Linked DNA regions of Callithrix jacchus. The protein of the gene in region 1 purifies or fractionates together with the protein of each later gene. This does not show direct contact. Links are inferred from orthologs where the notes say so. Each region holds a gene or a part of one and is shown on either strand. Other genes may lie near its edges.

What was found. The genes of interacting proteins can lie anywhere in the genome.
Region 2: the proteins of TNFRSF10B (region 1) and CASP8 purify together in Homo sapiens (affinity purification with western blotting; 14 studies listed by BioGRID and IntAct, counting the BioPlex papers as one, with this or other methods). This does not show direct contact. The link is inferred for Callithrix jacchus from reciprocal best matches to the Homo sapiens genes TNFRSF10B and CASP8.
Region 3: the proteins of TNFRSF10B (region 1) and RIPK1 purify together in Homo sapiens (affinity purification with western blotting, with the first as the bait; 3 studies listed by BioGRID). This does not show direct contact. The link is inferred for Callithrix jacchus from reciprocal best matches to the Homo sapiens genes TNFRSF10B and RIPK1.

Annotation. Positions count from the first base shown.
Region 1 is NC_133514.1:18,450,015-18,454,033, reverse strand, and holds the start of TNFRSF10B (tumor necrosis factor receptor superfamily member 10B), read right to left. Parts: upstream 2,782-4,019; coding exon 2,719-2,781; intron 1-2,718. UniProt on the Homo sapiens protein: Receptor for the cytotoxic ligand TNFSF10/TRAIL. The adapter molecule FADD recruits caspase-8 to the activated receptor.
Region 2 is NC_133507.1:122,368,219-122,371,736, forward strand, and holds part of CASP8 (caspase-8), read left to right. Parts: intron 1-1,235; coding exon 1,236-1,300; intron 1,301-3,226; coding exon 3,227-3,368; intron 3,369-3,518. UniProt on the Homo sapiens protein: Thiol protease that plays a key role in programmed cell death by acting as a molecular switch for apoptosis, necroptosis and pyroptosis, and is required to prevent tissue damage during embryonic development and adulthood.
Region 3 is NC_133505.1:27,534,505-27,537,542, reverse strand, and holds part of RIPK1 (receptor-interacting serine/threonine-protein kinase 1), read left to right. Parts: intron 1-835; coding exon 836-988; intron 989-3,038. UniProt on the Homo sapiens protein: Serine-threonine kinase which is a key regulator of TNF-mediated apoptosis, necroptosis and inflammatory pathways.

The DNA of each region.
Region 1 (4,019 bases):
GGGAGGACAAGTTGGGAGGATTCCTGAGCCTGGGAGTTTGAGACCGGGCTAGGCAACATGGTGAAACCTAGTCTCTACTAAAAATACAAAAATTAGCCAGCTGTGGTGGCAAGTGCCTGTGGTCCCAGCTACTTGGGAGGCTGAGGTGGGAGGATCACTTGAGCCCAAGAGATTGAGGCTACAGTGAGCTCTGACTGTGTCACAGCACTCCAGCCTGGGTGACAGAGGCCTGACCTCATGTGACCCTGTCTCAAAAAAGAAAAACACAAAGATGATCAGGAAGCAGATGGAAGATACTAAAAAGGCCAAAAGAGAACCTCTAAAGCTTAAAAAATATATTTCTGATATATGGTAGAAGAGATTAACAGCAGGTTAGCATCTGCAGAAGCAGATTAATGAGCCCTCACTAGGAACTATCCAAAGTGAAACATAAAAAATGATGGGGGAAGAAAAAGAACAGATACTAAGTTAGCTCTGATACAAAAATCTAACATTCTAACATAAATGTAAGAAAAACAGGAAGAGACAGGGTATTTGAAGAAATAATGGCTGAAAATCTTCCAAGTAGAACATAAACTCTAAAACCCCAAATCCAAGAAATTCAACATAGCTCTGTTGTGGCTTTCTTTTCAGAAAAATCTCACAAGTAGAACATAAAGTGTAAAATTAAAAATCCAAGAAATTCAACCCAACCCTGTTGTGGCTTGCTTACTCTCCCTTCCCTTCCCTTCCTTCCTCTCTCCTCCCCTCCCCTTCCCTTCCCTTCCCTTCTTTCCAGTTTCTCTGTTGTCTCCCAGGCTGGAGAGCAATGGTGCCATCTCTGCTTACTGCAATCTCCACCTCCTGTGTTCAAGTGATTCTCCTGCCGCAGCCTCCCAAGTAGCTGGGATTACAGGTCCCCAACACCACGCCAGGCTAATTTTGTATTTTCAGTATAGATGGATTTCAGGCTGGTCTGGAACTCCTAACCTCATGCAATCCACTCACCTCGGCCTCCCAAAGTGCTGGGATTACAGGCGTGAGCTGTTGTGGCTTTCTTAACAAAAAAATCTCCAAGCAGAACATAAACTCTAAAACCCCAAATCCAAGAACTTTAATACAACCCAGCTGTGGCTTTCTTTACAGATAAATCTCACAAGTAGAAAGAACATACAAGTCTAAAGCCAAAAATCGAAGAAATTCAACACAACCTTGGGCAAACAAACTAAGTCACTGCAAATCAGTGCTAAGAAATATCCTGGTTGATATAGAGGTTTTATTAGTTTTCATAAAATGTGTTTAGAGATGTACTCATTTTCTACTCTTTGGAAAAGTTTGTCATATTTGGATTTCCTGTTCCTTGTATATTTGATTAAACTTCCTGTAAAAGTTAAAAAAAAAAAAGAAAATCCTAAAAGCTGCCAGAGACCAAAGATCCACCACCCACAGAGAAGCAAGATGCCGGGCAGCCGAGGCCCTCAGAAACCACAGCAGCAGGTGGAGGCAGAGCCCCTGTACACCCGCTTCACCAGGACGGTTCCCACCCTCCCTCCACTCAGGTGAGAACAAGAACACACAGTGGTGTGAGGTGGAAGCAGTGAACTCAACATGAGGTGTGTAACAATATTCCAATACAACTCCAGTGCTTCACAGTGACATTATTCTGGGTCAACACTAGCATTCCCCTGACCCTACTTTCCCAGTTCCTCCTGTTAGGCCTGGGCCCACACACTTTCCCCCTCTGAGCTGCGTTCTCCTCCGCTGTAAAATGTGATGATTCACTACCGCTCCCAGCCCCAGCTCCTGGCCCAGGCTGTGTTCCAAGTGTTGAGCACACCGTGCTGTTCCCTACAGAGCCCATCTTCCTTCCCTATTAACACAGAGACCTGCCTGGGGGTGGATAGAAAGGCCCTTCCCAGACCAAAATGCAACTGCTATCAAGCAGCAAGTGCCTGATTTAGGAAGACTTCCTCTTTCTAAATCTCGTTTCCCGAGGAACCCCAAAGAGTGGTACTGGCGGGAGGCCGGGTCAATCTGGAAAGAACCGCACGTGTTTTCGTCCTGAATATCTTCAGGCTCCAGTACCCGCTTCACGTGTGAAACGCATCACCCCCAGCTCACGAAGGAAACGGGATCCCGGGTCTGGCTGCCAGATCCGGGTGTGATGAGCGGCCCCGCGCGCTTGGGGGCGTAGCCGCTAAGGAGGGGAAGGGGCCTCTCCAGCTGCGCCCGCGACGGCTCCAGCGCGCGAAACAGAATCGCGGGGCCGCAGCTACCACAGGAGAGTTGCTGGCTGCAGACTTGTCTGTTCAAAGCGAACTGCAATGAGCATCTTTCGGAATTCATTCGAAGGCGCAAAAGAAAAAGAAATTAAGGCAGGAAGGAAGGGAGGGAAAGAAAGGAAGAGAGAGAAAAAGAAAGTAAGGAAAGAGAATCTAAGTCCGACGACCTCTCCGTGGCTTCCCGCGGCTTCCAGGGGAATTCCCACCTGCCGCCCTCCCCCACTGTATTCGGGGATTTACCCCGAGCGAAGCGCGCGCTCTGACCCCTCCTGGCCCGGGTCAGTCCTGCCCAGCCCGGGACCCTGCTCTTCCCCAGACTCCGACGACGACGGGTACGTCTTGCCCGGACATGCCCGGCAGAAGGCGATCCAGGCCAGGCACCCCCGCCGTGCCCCCCCCCCCCGGCCCCCTCCTAGCGCCAGGCGCGCTCTTCCCAGGGCTCGCGGCGGGGACTCACCGACAGCAGCACCGAGACGACGACGACGAGCACAAGGGTCTTGGGGGTGAGAAGCCCAGACATGGCTCCCCACGCTGTCCTGGGTCCCGGGGCCGCGCCCTTTCCGGGACCCCGAGGGGGTCTGGGCGCTCTGTACCAGCTGTCCGACGGCGGTAGGAAACGCTCTTCGTCCCCCAGGCCAGCGGGTTTCAGCCTTTACAGTAGATCCAGTATCGCCCGTGTATTCGTGGTCGCGGAAATGTCCCTGGAGTCTACGGTGTTCGCGGGGCGCGTGCAGACTTGCGTGTGGAGGATGAGTTGTGTGGCGCGGCGCCGCTACACTTTCACCGCCCCGGCAGGCGTCATTCAGAGCGGGGCGAATCAGAGACGGTATTCAAATTCCACCACAGGTTGGTGACAATAAATAAATAAATAACAGCCTCGTCGACGCCACCCTCTGCAAGCACGTCCAAGTGGGGCGGGGAGGGGAAGAAACGGAACGAACCTTTGCCCAGGCGGCGGCACCCAGGGCTGTGGTTTGCTTTTGGGTCCTGCGCGCGACAGGACAGGCACCGAAACTGGGGAGATTGAGCTGGGGGAGGCGCGTGGGGAATTGACTTCTCCCAGGGTCGCGCGCTGGGCTGTGAGCAGAATCTTGAGGTTCAGAGTCTGCTTTCCAGGCGCGTCCTGATCCTCTCCCCTTCCCAGGGCACCTGTCCCTCCCTCCCTCCTTTCTTTCTTCCTTCCTTTTTCCCTCCCTCCCTTCTTCCTTCCTTCCTTTGTCCCTCCCTCCCTTCTTCCTTTCTTCCTCCCTTCCTTCCTCCTTCCCGCCTTCCTTCCTCTTTCTTTTCTCTCTCCTTTCTTTCTCTTTCTCCTTTTTGAGGTTTATTTTTTGAGACTGTCACTCAGGTTGGTGCACAGTGGTATGATCCTGGTTTACTGCAGCCTCTGTCTCCCGGGTTCAAGCAATGCTTCCACCTCAGCCTCCTTAGTAGCTGGGACCACAGGACTGCACCACCACACCTGGCTCATTTTTGTATTTTTAGTAGACATGGTGATTCACCATTTGGCCAGGCTGGTCTCCAACTCCTGACCTCAAGTAATTCACCTGCCTCAGTCTCTCAAAATGTTTGGATTACAGGCGTGAGCCCACCACACCTGGGCAGTCTTGCCTTTTTAAATGCATTTAAATGCACAACTGCTTTTTAAAATTTGGGGGCGAACATAAATCACATTAGCTGTTTTATGGCAGTACAGTAAGATTGAGCTCTTTTTTCTTTCTTTTGAGACGGAGTTTCGCTCTTGCTACCCAGGTTGGAGTG
Region 2 (3,518 bases), on another chromosome or scaffold:
CGATTAATCAAGTATGCTTTCTGATTAGAGTGATTGAAGATGATTTTAAATTCAGAGAAATGTTTACAAGTCCAAGAATGTCATCACTCCATTAATGTTGATATGAATGTTTTTATTGTATTTTTACCTTGGCTGTTTGTGGTGTGTGTGTGTGTCTAAAATACATTTTCAATCACCCAAATGTATTTTAAAAATTAATGTCCACTCAGGCTGTCCTTTGCTTTCCCCCTTGCCTGATGAGCCCAAGGCCTTAAGGATAGTTTAAGGAGTAAAGTACTAATCATTAATTCATCCTGAGCTAGTGGCTTTAGAGATATTAATGAATATCTCACAAATACCACAAAAATTCAACCTGGCTATGTGGAGCAATATAAAATTACTGCATTTCTTGGTATGCTTTTCTCTTTGGCGATGGGACAACTTAATCTTGTGTTTCCAGAAGCATGCTAATTGCCCTGCTTGCAGAATCTCTCTGGGTTGAAAGATTATATTCAAGACAGTCTGTGAATTTTCATTTCAGCTCATTTATTTGAGACAGAGTCTCACTCTGTTGCCCAGGCTGGAGTGCAGTGGCATGATCTCAGCTCACTGCAACCTCTGCCTCCCGAGTCCAAGTCATTCTCCTGCCTCGACCTCCTGAGTATCTGGGACTACAGGTGCTTGCCACCATGCCCAGCTAATTTTCTTTTGTATTTTTAGTAGAGACAAGGTATCACCATTTTGGCCAGGCTGGTCTCGAACTCCTGACCTCAAGTGATCTGCCTGCCTTGGCCTCCCAAAGTGCTGGGATTACAGGTGTGAGCCACTGGGCCTGGCTTGATTTTTCATCTTAAAAAAGACCTTACATTGGCCAGGCACAGTGGCTCACACCTGTAATCCTAGCACTTTGGGAGGCTGAGGTGGGTGGACCACGAGGTCAAGAGATGGAGACCATCCTGACCAACATGGTGAAACCCCATCTCTAGTAAAAATACAAAAATTAGCCGGTATGGTGGTGTGCACCTGTAGTCCCAGCTACTTGGGGGGCTGAGGCAGGAGGAGGGCTTGAACTTGGAAGGCAGAGGTTGCAGTGAGCCGAGATTTTGCCACTGCACTCCAGCCTGGCGACAGAGCAACATTCTGTTTCAAAAAAAAAAAAGACCCCACCTCAAAAAAAAAAAGACCTTATGTTGTCCTAGGTGCTACATATTTCATTTCAATGTCTCATTCTAGATGTTTCTCTTTGTTGTTTGCAGGGGAGGAATTGTTTGGGGTAATGGCAATCTCGGACTCTCCAGGAGAACAGGATAGTGAATCACAGGTAGATGGAAACCTCCAAATCCTTTTTCTTTTTATATTACAGATTCTAGTTATCGAATTTGTTAGCTTTTTTTTTTTTTAAGCTGCCAGATAAACCAATAAGGGGCAGAAGCTTATTGAAAATTTTGAGAACTGTAGAAAAATTCACAAAAAAAGTTAAAAATATGATATAATTTTTATAATGTGACTCCTTCAGTTTTCTATGCATTTGAATTTTATTTTAAGATCCAAGATGAAGATACTGGCATAGTTGGAGGTTTGAGGGGGTGGGAAGGCTCCTTCCTACCAAATCTAGCAGCCATGCCAGCCTGGATGAGGGAGGGGTTTGTAGAAACAGTCTAGCAGGACTGGAAAAAGCAAAGCCTTTTCCTTTAGTTAACATTTCAAAAATGCTTCTCCTTTGTGATTAGGTGTAAGCAGCAAACTCTCATAATCTAGCCAACTCTATGTTTTCATCTCAGTGAACCAGCAGAAACGTCCTTTTCAGGCATAATAACTTCTCTTTATGTAACCAACAATCTACCAAACACATCCTGACTTATTAGCCCATTTACTCCTCCTCATGGCAGAAAGAAGAGGAAATCCTGAATATCTGAATTAGGCTTGAGAGAGATTATTCACTAGTGTGGGCTCCTGAGAAAATTACCAGACCTCTTTCATCTGAAAGTCAAGGATTAATCCAAGCAATGTAGTACTTTCTAAGCAGTATCGCACATTACAAGCATTGTCCCCAGTGAACAGCTTAAAACACTGTCTTAATATCTTAGTATCTTTTTTCTTTTTAAATGTTTTATTGAGAGAGGGGTCTTGCTACATTGCTAAGCCAGGTCTTGAACTCCTGGCCTCAAGCAATCCTCCTGCCTTGGCCTCCCAAAGTCTGGGATTATAGGTGCCAGCCACCGTGCCTGGCCAAATCTTAGTGTCTTAATATCTCAGTAAATATACTTAATATGCTTAATAAATACTTAGCACACTTAATAGCAAATAATAAATACTTAACATACTTGGTGCAAACTTAATCAAATATTTAATATCTTAGAGTTAACATACTAAGATATCAGGTTACTTGCCCAAAGTCATAAAGTGAAGTAGAACCAGGAACTGGGCTTCCTAGCCTGGAGCCCTTTTCTCTACCTCAGAGGGCTATGCAGACCTCCAACTAAACGCTGAGTATTTCAGCACTGAAACAGCCCTAGGAGAATGAGTAGGACGCAGGGCCATCCCTGGCAGATACTATCAGGTACTACAGTTTGGATATTATAACCTACAGTGTAGCCTGGACCTGCCGGAGCAGCCCATCTCTCCCCAGCAGCCACCATGGTCCTGAGAGCTTGGTTAAGCCATCAGCTTTAAAATCCTGGGAACACACTGTGCAATGCATGAATGGGAGACCCTCAGCTGTTAGCCAGGAAGCACAGATGAGTTCAGTAGACAGGCAAGAGAATCACAAGGTCATGGTGTGGGGGCAGCCCAAAGACACATTCCTTCAGTAACTCCTGATTGAGCTCTCACAAGTTAATACTCCATGGTGCCTGGCACAGAAGTTATTGACTTCAAGGAGTCTTCTGTATAGTATGGGAAGCAGAAATGAGAACACACAATAATACAATATGATGACAACAATATTAATATGTGTGCAAAGTGCTCAGGAGGCCCAGGTGTTGGGACACTGACTTTACAACTATGGGGCAGAAGTCTGAGGGGTACTACTGTGTGAAGGAAATAGGTAGGAACTAGTTCTTCAAGGAAACGACCCCAGGTTGCAGTGGAGCAATGGAAAGCAAACTTGCTTCTTCATCTGGTTTACTAGTAAGCTAGTAAGTACGCTGGCTTGTTAGTAAGCTAACCTCTTATTAGGGAGTTGTTTGTTTTCATCTGCAGTGTTTGACCCACAGAGTCAGCTCTTGAATGGGTTTTTGTTTTCCAGACTTCAGACAAAGTTTACCAAATGAAAAGTAAACCTCGGGGATATTGTCTGATCATCAACAATCATGACTTTCGCAAAGCACGGGAGGAAGTGCCCAAACTCCACAGCATTAAGGATAGGAATGGAACACACCTGGATGCAGGTATGGTAGAACCCAAAGAGAAAAGTGAACATTTTTTTATGACTATTTTTTTTTAAATCAAAAGGGAGAGAACAATAGCTATACCAAAAGGGCATGTTTCAAGAAAATGGATTTAAACATATTTCCCTGTGGAGGTGAAGAACATTTTTA
Region 3 (3,038 bases), on another chromosome or scaffold:
TTCAGATGGTATCTTGCTCTGTCTCCCAGGCTGGAGTGCAGTGGCACGATCTCAGCTCATTGCAACCTCCGCCTCCTGGGTTCAAGTGATTCTCCTGACTCAGCCTCCCAAGTAGCTGGGATTACAGGCTCCCGCCACCATGCCCGACGAATTTTTTTTAGAGACAGCGTTTCACCATGTTGGCCAGGCTGGTCTCAAACTCCTGACCTCAAGTGATCCACCTGCCTTGGCCTCCCAAAGTTCTGGGATTACAGGCGTGAGCTACCGCACCTGGCCAATGATACTCTTTATAGCAGGGCCTGCACCATTTTACATCCCCACCAGCAGTGTGTGAGGGCTCCATTCTTCCACGTCTTTGTCTATGTGTGTTAATTCTTTTTTTTTTTTTTTTTTTTTTTTGAGACGGAATTTCACTCTTGTTACCCAGGCTGGAGTGCAATGGCGCAATCTCGGCTCACCGCAACCTCCGCCTCCCGGGTTCAGGCAGTTCTCCTGCCTCAGCCTCCTGAGTAGCTGGGATTACAGGCACGCGCCACCATGCTGACCAGGATGGTCTCGATCTCTTGACCTCGTGATCCACCCACCTTGGCCTCCCAAAGTGCTGGGATTACAGGCTTGAGCCACCGTGCCCGGCCCTTTTTTTTTTTTTTTTTTGAATTGTAGACATCCTAATGGGTACGAGGTGGTTTAGTCACATTTTAAAGAAGAAAGTTTAAAGGATGGCATAGGATAGTTAACCCAATGTTTGGAGTAAAGCCAGGCTTTTTTGCAGTGCTATATTTTTTCTCTTGCTTTTGATCTAGAAGTACTTACCTGTGTGTTTCTCTCTATTCAGAGGAATCTATAAAATGTACCATACACAACAGTAGCGGTGTTCAGATTGGAGCCTACAATTATATGGAGGTTGGTGGGATGAGTTCATCACTATCAGACAGCATAAATATGAACTTTAAAGAAGAGCCAGCTTCTAAGTACCAAGATATCTTTGGTAAGATACCCTTGAAGGACCCAATGTCTATCAACCTTGAACTTTCTTGTGAGAAGGATGTAGTGGAATCTTGAAATTTCTCTGATAATTCTTCCTGAAAGTTTTCTCATGTTACTTCTGCAAAATAACTTTGTGATTTCTGTGTAATTTCTTTGTGATTTATTTATTTTTAATATGGAGATAATAACAGTATTTAATTCATGGCTTTGTTGTGAAAATTAAATGAGTTGATATGTATGAAAGCTTAGAACGCTCCCTGACACATAGTAGGGTCTATAAAAAGTGTTAAACTTTCATCATTATCATCAGTATTACTGCTCAGACCTGGAAGAAATAGCTGTGTCAGGCCCTCATCAAAGGAGATCCTGTAAAAGAGAGAAGACTGTGCCCTCCACAGCACTTCTGCAATAAAATCAAGAGGGCTGTCTCTTACAGGGTCCTACTGTGCAGGACCATAATGCTAATCTCGAGGTACAGTCTGGAAAAAGCAGTCATGAGGCCAAAACAACTTGATTAAGAACTCAGCTTTCTAATTAACAACAGGATTGTCTTTTTGTTCCTGTAAAGGAACCGATAGTAAATGTTAGGCATTGCTGGCTTTGAGGTCTCTCTTGGAACTACTCAACTCTGTTACCGTAGTACAAAAGCAACCATAGACAATACGTACATGAATGAACATTGCTGTGTCCCAATAAAACTTTATTTACAAATGGTGGCAAGGAGCCAGATTTGGCCCACAGGCTATAGTTGGCCAACCCCTGGTCTAACACATTTGAAGAACAGCTTTTAAAATACCTAGAACAGAGGTTCTTAACTTTTGATTAGCCAAGGACACCCTTGAGATTGTAATGAAACCTAGGATCTGTCCCATAAAGAAATACTGACAAAATTTGCCAAATATTTTGGGAAGTTTTTGGACTGCTGACAATCTAGCGGTGGCAACACAGGCCACATTATGGAGGGCTGAGGAAAGAAAGGAGGTTGAAAGGAAGAATGAGATGTTTTCTCCCTTACATTCTGTTTATTGAGGTAGAGTGGGGATTAGGGAATATGTTTGTTGTGGTTGTTTTACATTTTTATTTGTTTCCTTTTATTATTTTTATGAAGGGCTAAGAGAAGAACTAGTAGGAGAGAGGTTATGGCTATCGGAGAAGAGGCAATGGCAGTCGGGGGGTGGGGGGCAGGGAGAAGGGTTCAAAAACAGACCTTTCATCGTGTGAAAGACAAGGAAGGCATTGTAACTGAATGGGTTCACACCTGCTGGACAGTTTCCTTGATTAAGAGGAAAGTGAACTGTTGGGCAGGGGTGATGGTCAGGAGGTAAGTGGCTTTAACTCTGGCCAGATGTAAGTGAAAAATGTCCAAAAGGAACAAAAATGGTGGGTTTTTCCTTTACATCCAGGAAAGTCTAACACAAACAGGGTCACCGGCTAAGATTGAATAGAACACCCAGCCTTGTAGCCACATAGGGGTTTTGTTCACAGAGCCATCAGCTGTGGCTCAGAGATGTGTCTGCTAGGAGGAAGGAATGCCTTATTCTTTTGTTTTGCTTTTGAGACAGCATCCTGCTCTGTGGCCCAGGCTGGAGTACAGTGACACAGTCATGGCTCACTGCAGCCTTGAACACCTGGGCTCAAGTGATCCTCCTGTCTCAGCCTCCTAACTGAGACTACAGGCATGTGCCACCATGCCCAGTTAATTTTTTTTTTTTGTAGAGACAGGGTCTTGCTATGTTGCCAAAGCTGGTCTAGAACTCCTGGGTTCAAGTGATCCTCCTTCCTTAGCCTCCCAAAGTGTTGGGATTATAGACATGACCCACTACGCCAGGACAGGAATGCCCTATTCTAAGTCACACAAAGACTCCATGTGGGCTAGCAGGGATATAAAATGTCCACCAAGGTGTCAACAGCTATATAATTAAGACGTTATCTTTTTCACTGTCTCCTGCTACTCTTCACCTCACTTGGGGTTTTTTTTAGCAATTCAGGAAGCTGGAATGTTTGAATGGGTTTTATTTAGCTTGATACCTTCTTCTCTTTCCCATTTGGCA